3 linked regions of the Macaca mulatta genome follow. Each later gene encodes a partner of the first gene's protein in a complex. Links are inferred from orthologs where the notes say so. Each region holds a gene or a part of one and is shown in the gene's direction. Other genes may lie near its edges.

Region 1 (4,801 bases):
GCTCTGGACTTTTACTTTTAGAACATCATGGTCCAAGAGCAGGTACTGATGTGGACATGTGCAAAATGGATTCAAACTGTCAATATGGGTTAAATCACATATTATATGTTAATCATCTCTTCCACTGGTTTCTAGATATTTCTGGTTGAAATCTATCAGGCAAATATATCTTGTCCCCTTAATTATAATATTAGCTCCTTGAGGGCAGAGGACCCACCCTGATACTCCTGTCTACAGACCTTAGCTGCACAGGACAAATCTAGATGTTCAGTAAGGACTGATTGAATCAACCTGACCTACTGGGTGCAGGTACTCTAGTACCTTTCTAGTTAATTTATTCATTTGAGCCTCATTTCTTCCTCTACAAAACGAGGGTGGAAATTTCTTTTACTTTCTCTTTCTTTTTTTTTTAAAACAAGGAGTCTCGCTCTGCTGCCCAGGGTGGAGTGCAGTGGTGCGATCTCAGCTCACTGCAACCTTTGCCTCCCAGGTTCAAGTGATTCTCCTGCCCCAGCCTCCCGAGTAGCTGGGATTACAGGCGTGTGCCACCATGCCTAGCTAATTTTTGTATTTTTAGAGGAGACAGAGTTTCACCATGTTGGCTGGGTAGGTCTTGAACTCCTGACCTCAGGTGATCCACCTGCCTTAGCCTCCCAAAGTGTTGGGATGACAGGTGTGAGCCACCACACCTGGCCCCCCCCTTTTTCCTTTATTTTAGAGACAGGTTCTGCTATGTTGCCCAGGCTGGTCTCAAACTCCTGAGTTCAAGCAATCCTCCTACCTCAGCTTCCCAAAGTGCTGGGATTACAGGCATGAGCTGCTGCGCCCGGCCAGGAATTGTAATTTTATCTGCTTCATTGGGTTGTTGTGAGGGTGGAGAGACAATACATGTAAATTGCTTAGCACATACTCTAGTATCATACAGTACATCATCTGCTCACTTGCTAGCTATTAATTTAACAATATTAATTTCTGTCTCCTGCTCAACTAGGAGAGAGCCTATGGAAAAGAGTAAGTGCAGCGGCTCTCATGCAAATCTGTAGGTATTCAATTCAGCCTATAGAGGCACACTGGTCTGTTGCCTATGTATTGGGATAAGAACAACAGAAGATTTACCTTTTCACCTATCTTCTTCACTTTTCTGCCATGACAGGGATGCTTTGATGGGTCTGTGCGTGAGCAACTGACTAGGAGCGAAGGTCCAAGTGGGACTCTGGACTGGGAGCGAGGGCTGAGACTAAAGTCGCCACATCAGGCTGCTTATTCCGTTCATTCAGCAAATATTTATAGCTAATCTAACCAGTTTCCGATATCGTTCAAGAGCTGGGGGTCCTGCAACAGCCCAGGCTCGTGCCTTTACCCCATTTCACAGAGGAGAAAAAGCGAAAAATTAGAGAAAAACCGTTTCTACAAGAGGTAACTGCAAAGAACGCGGAAGGCTTCTAGTGCGCAGGCGCCACGCCCCGGTACGCCCCAGCTCTTCCGGCGCGAGGTCACCGACTCGACGAGCCACCGGCGCCGGGGCCGCGCATGCGTGGCGCTGCCTTTCCCGGGCGCTGATTCCTGAATGCTGAGCGCGAGCCCGCGGAGATGAAGTAAGGCGTCAGCTTCCTTTTGAGGAACGAGCAGCGGGCCGCTGAGGGTGGTCTACCGGGGCTGGGGTGGTAGAGCGTCTGCGGGGTCGAGGGGCGGGAGAGGCGCGGGGACTAGCACAGCTCGTCCCCTTGTTTTGCTCTTCTTCAGCTTCGGCCGGTTAGCATTTACTTGTCTGCTTTTCTGCCTCCCCTCCCCCCCGCCACCGTGAAGTCCTTTAACTAAGGTGAAGCTGATCAACGAGCTGAATGAACGAGAGGTCCAGCTTGGGGTGGCCGATAAAGTGTCCTGGCACTCCGAGTACAAGGACAGCGCCTGGATCTTCCTGGGTGAGGTGCACATCTTTCTTCCGCAGTGCTCCCAAGATTCTCCTGCTCGGTGTCCGACTATTTCAGCATTTTCACCCTTCACTCCTGCTTACATTCATTGCCCTCCTTTATATCCATCTGCTGTCTGCCCGGGAATCCGTGTTCCATCTTTTTTTTTTTTTTTTTTTTTTCTGCCCCATTTTTAGTTTTCCTTCCCAGCCAAATCAGTGCTCATGAGAGTTACTGTTTGCCATTTGCTGTGCTAAGGTTCAGGGACTGTTGTTATTTCTCTCTCACCCCCTGACCCGTTATTACAGCTGAGGAAATTGGGGTGCAGAGAAGTTAAGGGACTTCCTTAAGGTCACATAGCTAATAACCGCAACAGGCAGAACTATAGCTTTCTAGAACTCATGGTCTTAGCCACAGCCCCATATTGCTACCACCGCCCTCCCCCATTCCCCTTCCCTTGCAGAATTCACTTTGCTCCTCTAGCTCCTGCTTTCTGACCATGGCCACACTACCATTACTGTATTCACTTTATATCACAACCAGTAATTGTACAAGTTTGATGCTTCAAAGAGGTTATTGTAAAAACGTTGTGCTAAGCACTTTATATGCATCGTTTTATTTAACTCTTATAACAGTCTTGCGAGTTACCTGCTAATATCCCCATCTTACAGATGAGGAAAGAAACATTTGGAAGGGAAATTATTCCCTAGGAAATGCTTAACAGTGTCTTTATAACCTTTGTCTATGTGTAGGTGGGGTTAATCATGACATATGTAGACTAATTTTGTATCATAGCTGTAAATTTGTGGGTAATGAGCAGATGAATTCAACATGTTTGTGGAAGCAGAGGTTTGTGATGGAAACTATCTGCTTTGCCCATAGGATTTTGGGTGCCAGGAGGACTGAGTGATCAGTTTACTTTTGTTAGTGGTGACACTGACTTCCACTCAAAATTAGTCACTCCTTTTCCTGTTCTACTGGCACCTTACATGTACTTCTGTCATTGCATCAGACTTGATTTCTTTCTTTCTTTTTTTTTTTTTTTTTTTGAGTTGGAGTTTCACTCTTGTTGTCCAGGCTGGAGTGCAGTGACGTGATCTCGGCTCACTACAACCTCTGCCTCCTGGGTTCAAGCGAGTCTCCTGCTTAAGCCTCCTGAGTAGCTGGGATTACAGGTGCCCGCCACCTCGCCCGGCTAATTTTTTTTGTAGTTTTAGTAGAGACGGGGTTTCGCCATGTTGACCAGGCTGGTCTCGAACTCCTGACCTCAGGTGATCCACCCGCCTTGGCCTCCCAAAGTGCTGGGATTACAGGCGTGAGCCATGGTGCCCAGCCCAGACTTGATTTCTTTAAGGGCAGGGCCTGTTGCTTACTGTTTGCACCCCTAGTGCCTGGCCTAGTGCATGGTACGTAGTAAACACTTGGTAAATGTTGGTGGAACTGAAATGTGGTTTTCTTTTCTAGGAGGGCTTCCTTATGAACTGACTGAAGGGGACATCATCTGTGTGTTCTCACAGTAAGTCCCCTTTCATTTCCTGCCTCCTGAGTCGACAGAGTACTTTTTTCTGTAATGCATTTTGTGGCATCACAAAAACCACTTATTTTCACTCTAGGCTGAATGGCGTCCCTGCATGGGGAGGGCTGGAGCTTCTGCTCTAGTCTAGATCAGTCCCAGGACATGGTTCTAGAATGTTCTCCTGTGGGAGATCCAAGAGGTTTGTTAATTTGGGAGGCCATCTTGGGGATTCTAGTCTATTTCTGTTGTTTTTCACTGAGGTTTGTTCAGCCTGGGCCTAGACTGGAACAGACTGGAACCCTCAGGAAGGTTCCATATTGGTACGCCTCCTTGGGCTCTTGCAAACTAGGGGTAACCCATGGTCACAGGGCCCTTCTGGTCCTTGCCTGTGTGGCATCATACGACTGGGGCAAACCACAGAGGAATTGGGATGAAAAACAGAAAGAAGGTTGTAGTTTGCTTTCTTTGATTCTCAATGAATGTAAGGTTAGTGAGCAAAGCCAATCTCTACCTGGAGGCTGAGAATCACAGCCTGACGAGGAACAAGAATGAATAGGAGATCTGTATATTCTTCATTCTGCTGAGGTGTTGGCAGCAGCATTTGGTGGGAGAGGGTGTTGGTGGCTCATACTGGTAGTAGCAGCTAGTAGGAGAGGGGCTGGGCAGCTGGCCTGCAACCCCAGAGGTAAACAGCACAGTTAGTCCACAGGGCCAGAGGATCTTGGCACAGGTGCAAAGGACCACTACATTTGGGTTTTGTAGGCCTTCAGAGCATAGTACTGTTTCAGAGAAGTTGGACAGCATGTACAGGTAGCAGACCATGGCAAAAGGGGCTGGCCAAGCAAACACAGGTAGCATACACTGGCAGAGGGATTGCTATGGCAGGATGGTAGGGCCATCCATGGACAGAGGGCCCTGGCTGAGTGGTTGGGCCACTTATGGGGCAGCAAGCCATGGGAAAGGAATTGGGCAATACCCGTGAGAAGAAGGCTGTGATAGAGAACCTGGGCAACCCACACGAGTGGAGGGCCCTGGCAGGGACAAAGATTGCTTCCTTCAACTTGTGGATGTTGCAAGGTTCACAGCAGGTGCAGCCTATAATTTCTACCCCTTTGTGTACTTCTACTCAGCCTTCCCTCTTGGAGCTGTTTAGTTCTACTTGCATTGAGTGATGATCAGCTAGCACGTGTGCTTGTTTGTTTATTCTAATTCTCTATTCTCTATTCTGGTTACACACGTTGCTCTCCATGAAGATTGCCGCTGATAACAGTGCCTTTCAAAAAACTGCTTTGTTGGCTGGGCATGGTGGCTCACGCCTGTAATCCTAGCACTTTGGGAGGCTGAGGTGGGCGGATCACCTGAGGTCAGGAGTTTG
Region 2 (4,484 bases), on another chromosome or scaffold:
CACATCTTCTAGCAAATGCCAAATGACACCAAGTGCACACTCGAATACTCAAATGGTGGCCAGTGGAATCAAGAGTTCAAAGAGCACCACACTAAACTAAGGGATCTCGATGCTTCAGAAACACCAAGATGACAACGTCTGTTACAGGTGTTAAATTCCAACCAAAAGTAGAGCACGAATGGAAGGAGGGAAAACAAATTACTCATCTCTACAATACACGTATTTAAATTACCTGAGAGTTAATTGTACTGTTAAACAAGGACTTTATTAATTTAAAGTAACAGTCAATATGTTACACTATGGAGAATATTCCAGAAAATAGAAATATCTCAGAAAAAAAATACTATACATACACACACACACACACACACATACACGTGGGCGCGCGCGCGGGAGGGGCGCCCGCTAGTGCGAAAAGCAGAAGGGCGAACCTGGGCCTTATCCTAATAGCTCTCATTTAATTCACCCAGTGCTTTTCAAAGGCAGATATTTTACTGATAAGGAAACAAGGCAAACAGGTGAGGTGGTCCAAGGTCCCACGCGCTACAGCTCTCTCTCTAAGGAAATACACTAGGCATGAAGAAGCAAACGGATGGCAAGAAGGGACAAAGGTAAACTTTCCCATAGATTCTCTTAAGCTGATTGAGGGAGGGCAAGGGGATCAGGAATCCATTCTCTCAACAGATAGCCCTTCAGCCATTTTTCTGAGCCACCCTCGGAATCGCAGCTGCCATCAGATGTGGATGTAATACAGTGAGCAGTTACCAAACTCAACCGTTTGCTGAGTGAATGAAGGAACCAAAGTAGGCAAAGTGGGAAACCAACTCTCCTGGGAAACCAGCACCGTGTTAGGCCCTGGCGTGCCCCCAGGGCGCCTGCAGGGGTGCCACGGGCATGACGCGGCCCACCTCCCCAGGCACCGCAGCGGAGAGAAGGCTCTTCAGAGCGGCCCCCAGAGGAGCCTTCACGGGCATCGCCGCACCTCCACCGGCAGCTCCACCCCAACCCTGGTCGCTGGGAATTCTGCCCGACCCTAGGCCGGCGCGAGCGTGGGCAGCGAGGAACCAGCTGAGAAGCAGGATCAAAGAGCTCGGGAGTTGGAGACAAAGAAAAACTGGGGGACAGAGGCAAAAACTCGGATCCGAAAGGGGGTCTGTCCATCAGGGCACGCCGGAAGAGTGGCGCTCGAGCTGACGGCGAGAGCGGGCGGGCCGGGGCGCCGAGGCTCAGGGCTGCTTCGGCAATTCGCGGGGGTGGCTTGCACCCCGGGAGGCGAGAGCGCCTGGGAAGTCCAGCGGGGCTTACCTAACTTTCCCGCCCGCGGAAGGGAAGCGGGGAACTACTGCCTCCCACCATCAGGTACGACAGGAGGCCCAGGCCCACGCGCAGACGCAGGGTTGTGGGGCGGACACCCACGGCCGAACAGCCAGTCGCAGAAAGGGAGGGGCGGGCAAATGGGGCAGCCCCACCTAGCCGCTCGCGTTCATTCCTCCCGCGGCTTTCCAGGTTTGGGGTAGGCGGGAGCGGTGGGCTTAGAAGCCGGAAGTGGATTGACGTAGCCCGGAAGGGGAATACTTCCCAGTTACAGTGTTGATGTTTTCAGGCTCCTGCTGCTCCTGTTGCGGCTAGGGGAACTGTCGTGGGGAAGGATGGTGTGCGAAAAATGTGAGTTAAGGGGCTGCTTCTGCGGGAGGAGGAGGCTGGGATAATCTAACTGAGCCCTCCCGGGAACTTTGCCTTCTCTTTGTTTTTTTCGCCCACAGGTCTCTGATTCTAGCCGCTGTCTTTCTACCCTACCCTTTGACCATTTTTGCACCTCCCCAACGACCATACAGTCCTATGTATTTTGTACTCAGAATGGTCTCAGTTCTGCACCTCCCTCTCTATTTCCATTGCCTTCCCCCAGCCCCAGATCTCATCGGCTCCCCTCCCATATAAAAATGTTCAGTTAAACCCCAGCGACACCTTTCCCTCTTGGCAATTCCTGTCCTTTCCTTTTTATTCGTGTAACAAGTATTGTACTCCTGCCAAATGTTAAACACTGGAACCAAAGACTTAGGACTTTGCCTTATTCATTCTCATTAGTCATTATGCCAGGATATGGCGTAGAGTAAACCCAGAGATGTTTGAATTGAACATCAACGTAAGTGCAAATTATTATTTCCCTAATTTAAATCCTTTAATAAACTCTCAGTGTGCAGAGAATAATTTGGGGATTCTATATTTGGAACCTGACGTTCAGTACCCTCCACACTAAGGCGCCAACTTATTTTTCCAGCTTCATTTTCACTGACCCTCATCCTCTTCACACTTTGACCAAACAAAATACTCTTTGTGCCCATGTGTACTCTAAGCTTTCTATGCCTTTCCTCAGAATGTGTCCTTTATCTAGTTTGCGTTCATCCTCTTTACTCCTTTTTGTTCACAGTCCTGTTGCCACATATTCAAATCCTCTCTCTTGCCTTCTCTCCAAACTTTGTTTTCTTGGATTTCCTTAGCCAGGGTTATTTTTTCCTGCCTGGAATTTCTCCCAGTACTTTAGTTCTCAATTATTATATCTTTTATTTTTTAGCTTACATTTTGTTTGAATGGTTCTTTTTGGGGGGACGGTCTCTGATCCCTCTGAGAATCTGATGAAAACTGTAGCCTCTTGCCAGGAAAAAAAACTGAAAATATAAAAGGTTTGTGTACAACTCCACCTTGTTCACATATCTCTTAAGATCCACCTGGGGAACCCAGGTTACAGATTGCTGTTAAAGAAATTAGTATACTATAATCTCATTAAAATTTTGTCTGATTCATCACTTTTTCTCAGCACTTTGTATAGTTTATACATCATAGATGCTTAGTAAATATTTATGGAACAAATAGACTTATTGGATTTTTTAAAAGTATAAACAAACAGTGAAAGCTTATTATAAGCCATCTTATTATCCTGCGAATTTTACCGACGGTCAGTCATTCATTGCCCACAGTTAATATGAGTCTCAGTTGACTGGCTGCTTTCTCAGCATTAACAGGCTCCTATGGTAATAGCATTGATAGTCGATACCATTGTGAGCCTTAGGCACAATGTAATGCACTTATGAAATAGTAAATTTTAATTTTCCTTTTACTATCTTGTTCTAACAGGTGAAAAGAAACTTGGTACTGTTATCACTCCAGATACATGGAAAGATGGTGCTAGGAATACCACAGGTATTTCTTCTTTTAGAAAATAGGAATTTAACCAAATACTTACTGTGAATTATATTTTAGCTTTTACATTATTTGTACAATGAAATGTTGTATGTTCAAAGTATTTTATCTATTAAATGTTAAAGAATACTGGGTCCCCAAGTGATTTAATATCTTTTATTTAGTTCTCAGTTACTTGTATGGGTTCCCAATATCAGGAGATAGCAAAATTATTAAATGATTGTCAAGTGGTGACAATATCACAGTATTTGATTATCACAGTATTTGATTTGATTCAGCTTATTTAGAGTCTGTTTTTAATTTCCCCACTCTTCTGAGGAGAAATTTTTTTAAATCTTCTGATTTTTATATTCTTGAATAAATAAATGCTTTAACCCATTTTACCTTCATTATCATTAAATCTTTATAATGAAGTATTTACCTTCATTATTATTAAATACATATAGTAAAGTATGTTTTCAAAGCGTAGACAAATAAACATTTTCATTATATTGAAGGTCTATGACACTGAAGTAGTGGCTTCTAGATTTTACACTATATAGAGTAAATATAGACCCATTCCTAAAGTACTCCCTTGAGTCTGAGAAATAAAATGATTGTATTTTATACAAATTTTTACTGTTTCCCTAATAAATGTTTTCTTTTTAAGCAGTGTCTTAATAGCCTACTAAATGAGGATTTAAAAATTAGATACAGACTACTATTTTGGTAGAAAGTCAAAGAATGAACTTCTTAATGTTTTATGTTAAATGTATAGAAATAACCCACTAAAATATCTTTTATTCTGATACAGAAAGTGGTGGGAGAAAGCTGAATGAAAATAAAGCTTTGACTTCAAAAAAAGCAAGGTGGGTAAGAGCATCCATAGACAGATCATATAAATTTCCTTTCTTTTAGTATTAAGTCTGCTGGAGTGAATTTGATGTGCATCATTCCATTTGCAATAAAACATAAAGGTAGGTGGTTCATAGCACTCAGAACCAAGCTATCTGTTACAATCCTGCTGGTTTTACCTTATTCCTCCTTGGCTGTATCAATATATGAAGATATTAGTGTTATTCTCTTACAGTTTCACCAGAAAACATGACTTGTATTTTATCTCCTTCTTAATTATCCTATGAATCAGAGACAGCAGGGAAATGTGGAAAGATGGTAAGCTTTGGAGTCAAACCTGAATTTGAGTCTAGACCCACTGTCTAGCCTTATGACCTTAAGCAAGTTAAGCAAGTTTCTTGACCTTTCTAAACTTTACTTTTTCCTGAGAATTGGGGTAAAAATGTCTCCCA
Region 3 (4,502 bases), on another chromosome or scaffold:
GTGATACAGTTATCTTGGGGCACAGGCAACAGAGAAAAGCTAGTGCAAAGGCACTAAAATAGAAGGAATCTTGCCCTGTTTCGTAAAACAGAAATGCCCAGTTGGCTGTGTCTAGAGCTTAGTGTGTAAGCGAGTGACTGATTGGAAGTGAAGTCTGGAAGTTAGGCAGGAGCCAGACTCCGTGGCGTCTCAGGTCACATTAAGAAATGTGATTTTTATCCTAACTGCAGTGAAATTTTACACAGGATAGTAACACCATTTGATTAATTTTAAAAGATCACTCTCTTGGCTATATGCAGCATTGACTGTAGGATAAAAGATGACGCAGGAAGATACAATAGGAAACAATTACAATCCAGGTAGGAGATGGTGTTGGCCAGGACAAGGGTAATGGCAGTAGAATAAAATTTCGGGTAAGTTTTAAAAGTAGAATTGGTAAGACCTGTAAATGAACCGTATGTGAAAAGTGAAAGAAAAGGAATTTAAGTAGGCACTCTGGGATTTTGGTTTGAGTAACTAGTATGATGATCGTGTCCTTTAGTGAGACGTGTAAGACTGGAGGAGGGATACCTTTAGTAAGAAAAATCAAGATTTTCATCTTGAACTCTATGAGTGAAAGGGCTTTTTCTGCTTTTCTTTCTTCATTTAAAAGTTGCAAAGAATTTAGAGGTAAGAAAGCATTTAAATATTCAACTTTGTGAGTTCTTTATATTTTAAACTAAGTTGGGGAAGTTGAATTTTCATTTGTTTAACAAATATTAATTGAGCAGCTACTATATGTCAAGGTCTATGTGATGAGATACTAAGATTAGCTAAACAATCAAGATCTCTGTTCTCAGGATTTTTTTTTATGGAAGGGAGGAGACAGGATTGGTGGGTTTTTGGTTTTTGGGTTTTCTCCTTTTCGTTCTTATTAAAACTTAACACTTAAGTAGCCATCTTAGTAATTACATCTTGTGCTCCTGGCAGTTGGGCCCACCGTTCTAAACGCTGTCGTAAATATTGACATCTCCCCTCCCACTAAAACTAACGTTTTTTAAATAAAAAATTTTAGCAAACATTACGAATACAACCTTTGCTTTGAAGTGTTAATATTTTTGCAGGAATGTACCTTTGTAAAGATCGTGGTTGCCCCGTACATATTTGTTCTTTCTTCATATCCAATTAAATGAAAACACTAGTTTTTCCGAAGCCCAACTCTCTAGGTTTGTTGGTTCTAGCTCAGGAGAAAGGATGGAAGCAGGAGTCGTTGGATTTAAACAGTTTGGTGTAATCCTTTTCCACGCTCTCTCCCGCTAGCCGGGGACGTGGTGTCGGCTACCCGGGGCTTTCCGTCCACGCAGTACCGGAATGAAGGAGTCTGGGAGGGGGTCGGGGACGGAAAAGACGGAAGAGACATTAAGTAATTGGTTCTTGAAGGTATAAAATGATATTTAGGGTCTACTCTAAGGCACTGATTTCAAACGCCCGCCCCCTGGGCCGTTTCGGCCCCGCCCCTTAGTGCCGTTACGCCGACTTCCACTTCGGCCACTGCGGATTGGTCGTTGCTTCCGCCTCCGAAGCGCTTGGATTTTGCTTCCGGGTCGTAGGCGCTAGCCCTGGGCGCAGAGGTTTCTGGGAGCCCGGAGTCGTAATGGCGTCTGTATGATCTTCGGAGATTGCTGCATCGGACCTCGGCCAGTGTGAGCGGCAGGAGGATAGGTTATCTTCCTCATCCCGGTGGGACGGGAAAGGGCAGTTGGGGTCGGAGTCGGCGGCAGAGTGCAGAGTGCGGGCGGTGGAGGACCTAGAGCAGCGGGCTAGGGGCGAAACGGAGTGCCTGTCAGGCGCGTCCGGAGCTCTCGGGCCGCAGAGGAGATCGCAGCATAAAAGGCAGCGCGCCTACCGCGTAAAGCGAACCCCAGGTCCTCCTTTCACTACCCCTCGCACCCCTGCGGCGCTGGGCACGGGTTAAGGGGCAACGAGTTTCTGGTTATAGCCAAAGACTAGCTCACGAGAGGCCGGAGTGATAATTCCGTTAGTGTGTGGGAAGGGGCGGACTCCCAGCTCCAGATAACCCCGTTTCTTCTTTGTATACATGTCTCTTACTCTTTTTGAAAATTAGGAGAAAGCACTCCCCCCCCCCAAAAAAATCCTCCCAGTTCGCCCACCCTCCCCACACACTTGCTTTTCCGACACTAACAGGGTTTTAATGACTGCATCTGCTAGGCAGTATTCTTGTGACTGCTCCAAGCAGAAAGTAACTTAAGGAATGGGTCCCTGATTTTTGTCATCAGAATCCTCTGGGGCTGAGGTTCCTGTTTTGTTTTTGTTTTTGTTTTTTTTGAACAGTCCTTAAGTTATAACCCACAAACGATCTGATTTATAATATGATGCCTGTTGTAGGAGAAAATTGGCTCAACAAAAGGTTAAGAATTTTTTTCTATGTACCTGTCATTGAAGTTTAACACACTTTCCTTAGTAACTTTTTTCTCAGACACTTAGTAACTTTGTCAGTGATATTTTTTGTTTGTTTTTAGCTTTTGTTTCTACTAGCCTATTTGCTATTGTGTGAAGTTTAGATAAAATGCAAACCTTAGAGAGTCTGGTAGAGTAAGGTTGAGTTGGAAATTTTTAAAACTTAGTCATGGTGGTACTGTATTTTTCAAGGCTTTTGACATGTCAAGTGTCATAATTCTTATAGTAATCCTATGAGGAATATCTCCATTCCACGGATGACAGAAAGTTAAGCCAGGTGACTTGCTCAAGCCCATATAGTCAGAAGGAGAATAGGGATGCAAACTCAGATCTTCATGACAGAATTTTTTGTACTAAGACAAGCCTGAGAAGCCCTATTCGTTGTATGGCCTAAGCCTCATAATTTGTTTTCCTGAAAACTTTTGTTTAAGAAGATTAAGCAGGTTTAGGGGAATGAGTTTTAGAATTTATTTCACTAGTATGGATATTAATACTCTGTAAAATGAGTGTTTGTATTGTTGTAAATAACTTGATTATATTTTTCTTCAAAGCATAAAAGATGACAACAGCAGCCAGGCCAACCTTTGAACCTGCAAGAGGTGGAAGGGGAAAAGGAGAAGGTGATTTGAGCCAACTTTCAAAGCAGTATTCAAGCAGAGACCTACCCTCTCACACAAAGATAAAATACAGGTAGTAAGACTTTCTTTTTTTTCTTTCTTTTTTTTTTTTGTTGAGACAGAGTCTCGCTTTGTCGCCCAGACTGGAGTGCAGTGGCCGGATCTCAGCCCACTGCAAGCTCCACCTCCTGGGTTCACGCCATTCTCCTGCCTCAGCCTCCCGAGTAGCTGGGACTACAGACGCCGGCCACCTGCCCCGGCTAGGTTTTTGTATTTTTTAGTAGAGACGGGGTTTCACCGTGTTAGCCAGGATGGTCTCGATCTCCTGACCTTGTGATCTGCCCATCTCGGCCTCCCAAAGTGCTGGGATTACAGGCTTGAGCCACCGCGCCCAGCCTCTTTTTTTTCTTGTTCACAAAACAAGACCAAATCTGTTAAATGGCATGGTCATGATATAGTAGTATGTTCGAGTTATGTCACTTATCTATTATCATAGGATTAGAATGCAATAGGATGTTTAACACTAAAATTCTGCCCTGTGGTTTTAAAATGCAAAATTCCTACTAACCAGAAATTTTCGTATGTAGATACAACAATAAATAACAGAAATAATAATGCCTCAGAGAGATTATGCACTATCAGCACCAGTCAATATATTAAAAGTATTACTGTTAAGTTCTGAGTTGATAATACCAATAAAAATTAAAGACATTTTAATCACGTAAAGCCTTATTATAGGAAAATGCGTGATTGAATTTGGACTTCTTGAAATATTGGGAACATCACAAGAGTGGCTGTTAGTAACTTTCAGATTAGATTATGATCTTATCTACTTCCCTTTTTTATGCTTGAAGGACAAAGTCTCATTCCTGAATTGTCTTCCATTACCACAGTCGTGTGTGTGTGTATGTGTGTGTGTGTTTAAGTACCATTTTTGCCCTGGTTTGTTTCTACTTTAGACAAACTACTCAGGATGCCCCTGAAGAGGTTCGTAACCGTGACTTCAGGAGAGAGTTGGAAGAAAGAGAGAGAGCTGCTGCAAGAGAGAAAAACAGAGATCGTCCAACCCGAGGTACCAACACTATCCAAGACATTTATCTCTAAAATTATGTTGTTGATAGTTTTTCTTTTATGTAGCAACTGGAAAATATTAACCATTTGTTTGCTTTTACAGATTGATGTGAGCTGTAATACTTTCTTAAGTCATTAGAGATAACAATAACAAATATTTACCAAAGGCTTATTTGCCCAGGCACTGTGGATGTGATTTCACTGTGGATAATGCTTTCAGTGTGGGCTCCTCGTGCCCACAGGTCCCTAAAACATTTTAAGAAATGCAGTATTTGTTTTACTAAGTTAAGTGATTTTTGTTTCCCCTCAGAACATACAACCTCCTCTTCAGTGTCAAAAAAGCCACGGTTAGACCAG

The links. Proteins that work in one complex are often made in the same cells at the same time.
Region 2: RBMX2 (region 1) and CRIPT share a complex: the UniProt entries of both Homo sapiens proteins name them as parts of the minor spliceosome. The link is inferred for Macaca mulatta from reciprocal best matches to the Homo sapiens genes RBMX2 and CRIPT.
Region 3: RBMX2 (region 1) and CWC15 share a complex: the UniProt entries of both Homo sapiens proteins name them as parts of the minor spliceosome. The link is inferred for Macaca mulatta from reciprocal best matches to the Homo sapiens genes RBMX2 and CWC15.

Annotation. Positions count from the first base shown.
Region 1 is NC_133426.1:136,863,289-136,868,089, forward strand, and holds the start of RBMX2 (RNA-binding motif protein, X-linked 2), read left to right. Parts: upstream 1-1,575; 5' UTR 1,576-1,590; coding exon 1,591-1,595; intron 1,596-1,806; coding exon 1,807-1,922; intron 1,923-3,374; coding exon 3,375-3,426; intron 3,427-4,801. UniProt on the Homo sapiens protein: Involved in pre-mRNA splicing as component of the activated spliceosome. As a component of the minor spliceosome, involved in the splicing of U12-type introns in pre-mRNAs.
Region 2 is NC_133418.1:78,216,412-78,220,895, reverse strand, and holds the start of CRIPT (cysteine-rich PDZ-binding protein), read left to right. Parts: upstream 1-1,571; 5' UTR 1,572-1,649; coding exon 1,650-1,665; intron 1,666-3,132; coding exon 3,133-3,198; intron 3,199-3,991; coding exon 3,992-4,046; intron 4,047-4,484. UniProt on the Homo sapiens protein: As a component of the minor spliceosome, involved in the splicing of U12-type introns in pre-mRNAs. Involved in the cytoskeletal anchoring of DLG4 in excitatory synapses.
Region 3 is NC_133419.1:95,762,623-95,767,124, reverse strand, and holds the start of CWC15 (spliceosome-associated protein CWC15 homolog), read left to right. Parts: upstream 1-1,589; 5' UTR 1,590-1,682; exon of another isoform or gene 1,683-1,701; intron 1,702-3,008; 5' UTR 3,009-3,016; coding exon 3,017-3,147; intron 3,148-4,033; coding exon 4,034-4,146; intron 4,147-4,455; coding exon 4,456-4,502. UniProt on the Homo sapiens protein: Involved in pre-mRNA splicing as component of the spliceosome. Component of the PRP19-CDC5L complex that forms an integral part of the spliceosome and is required for activating pre-mRNA splicing.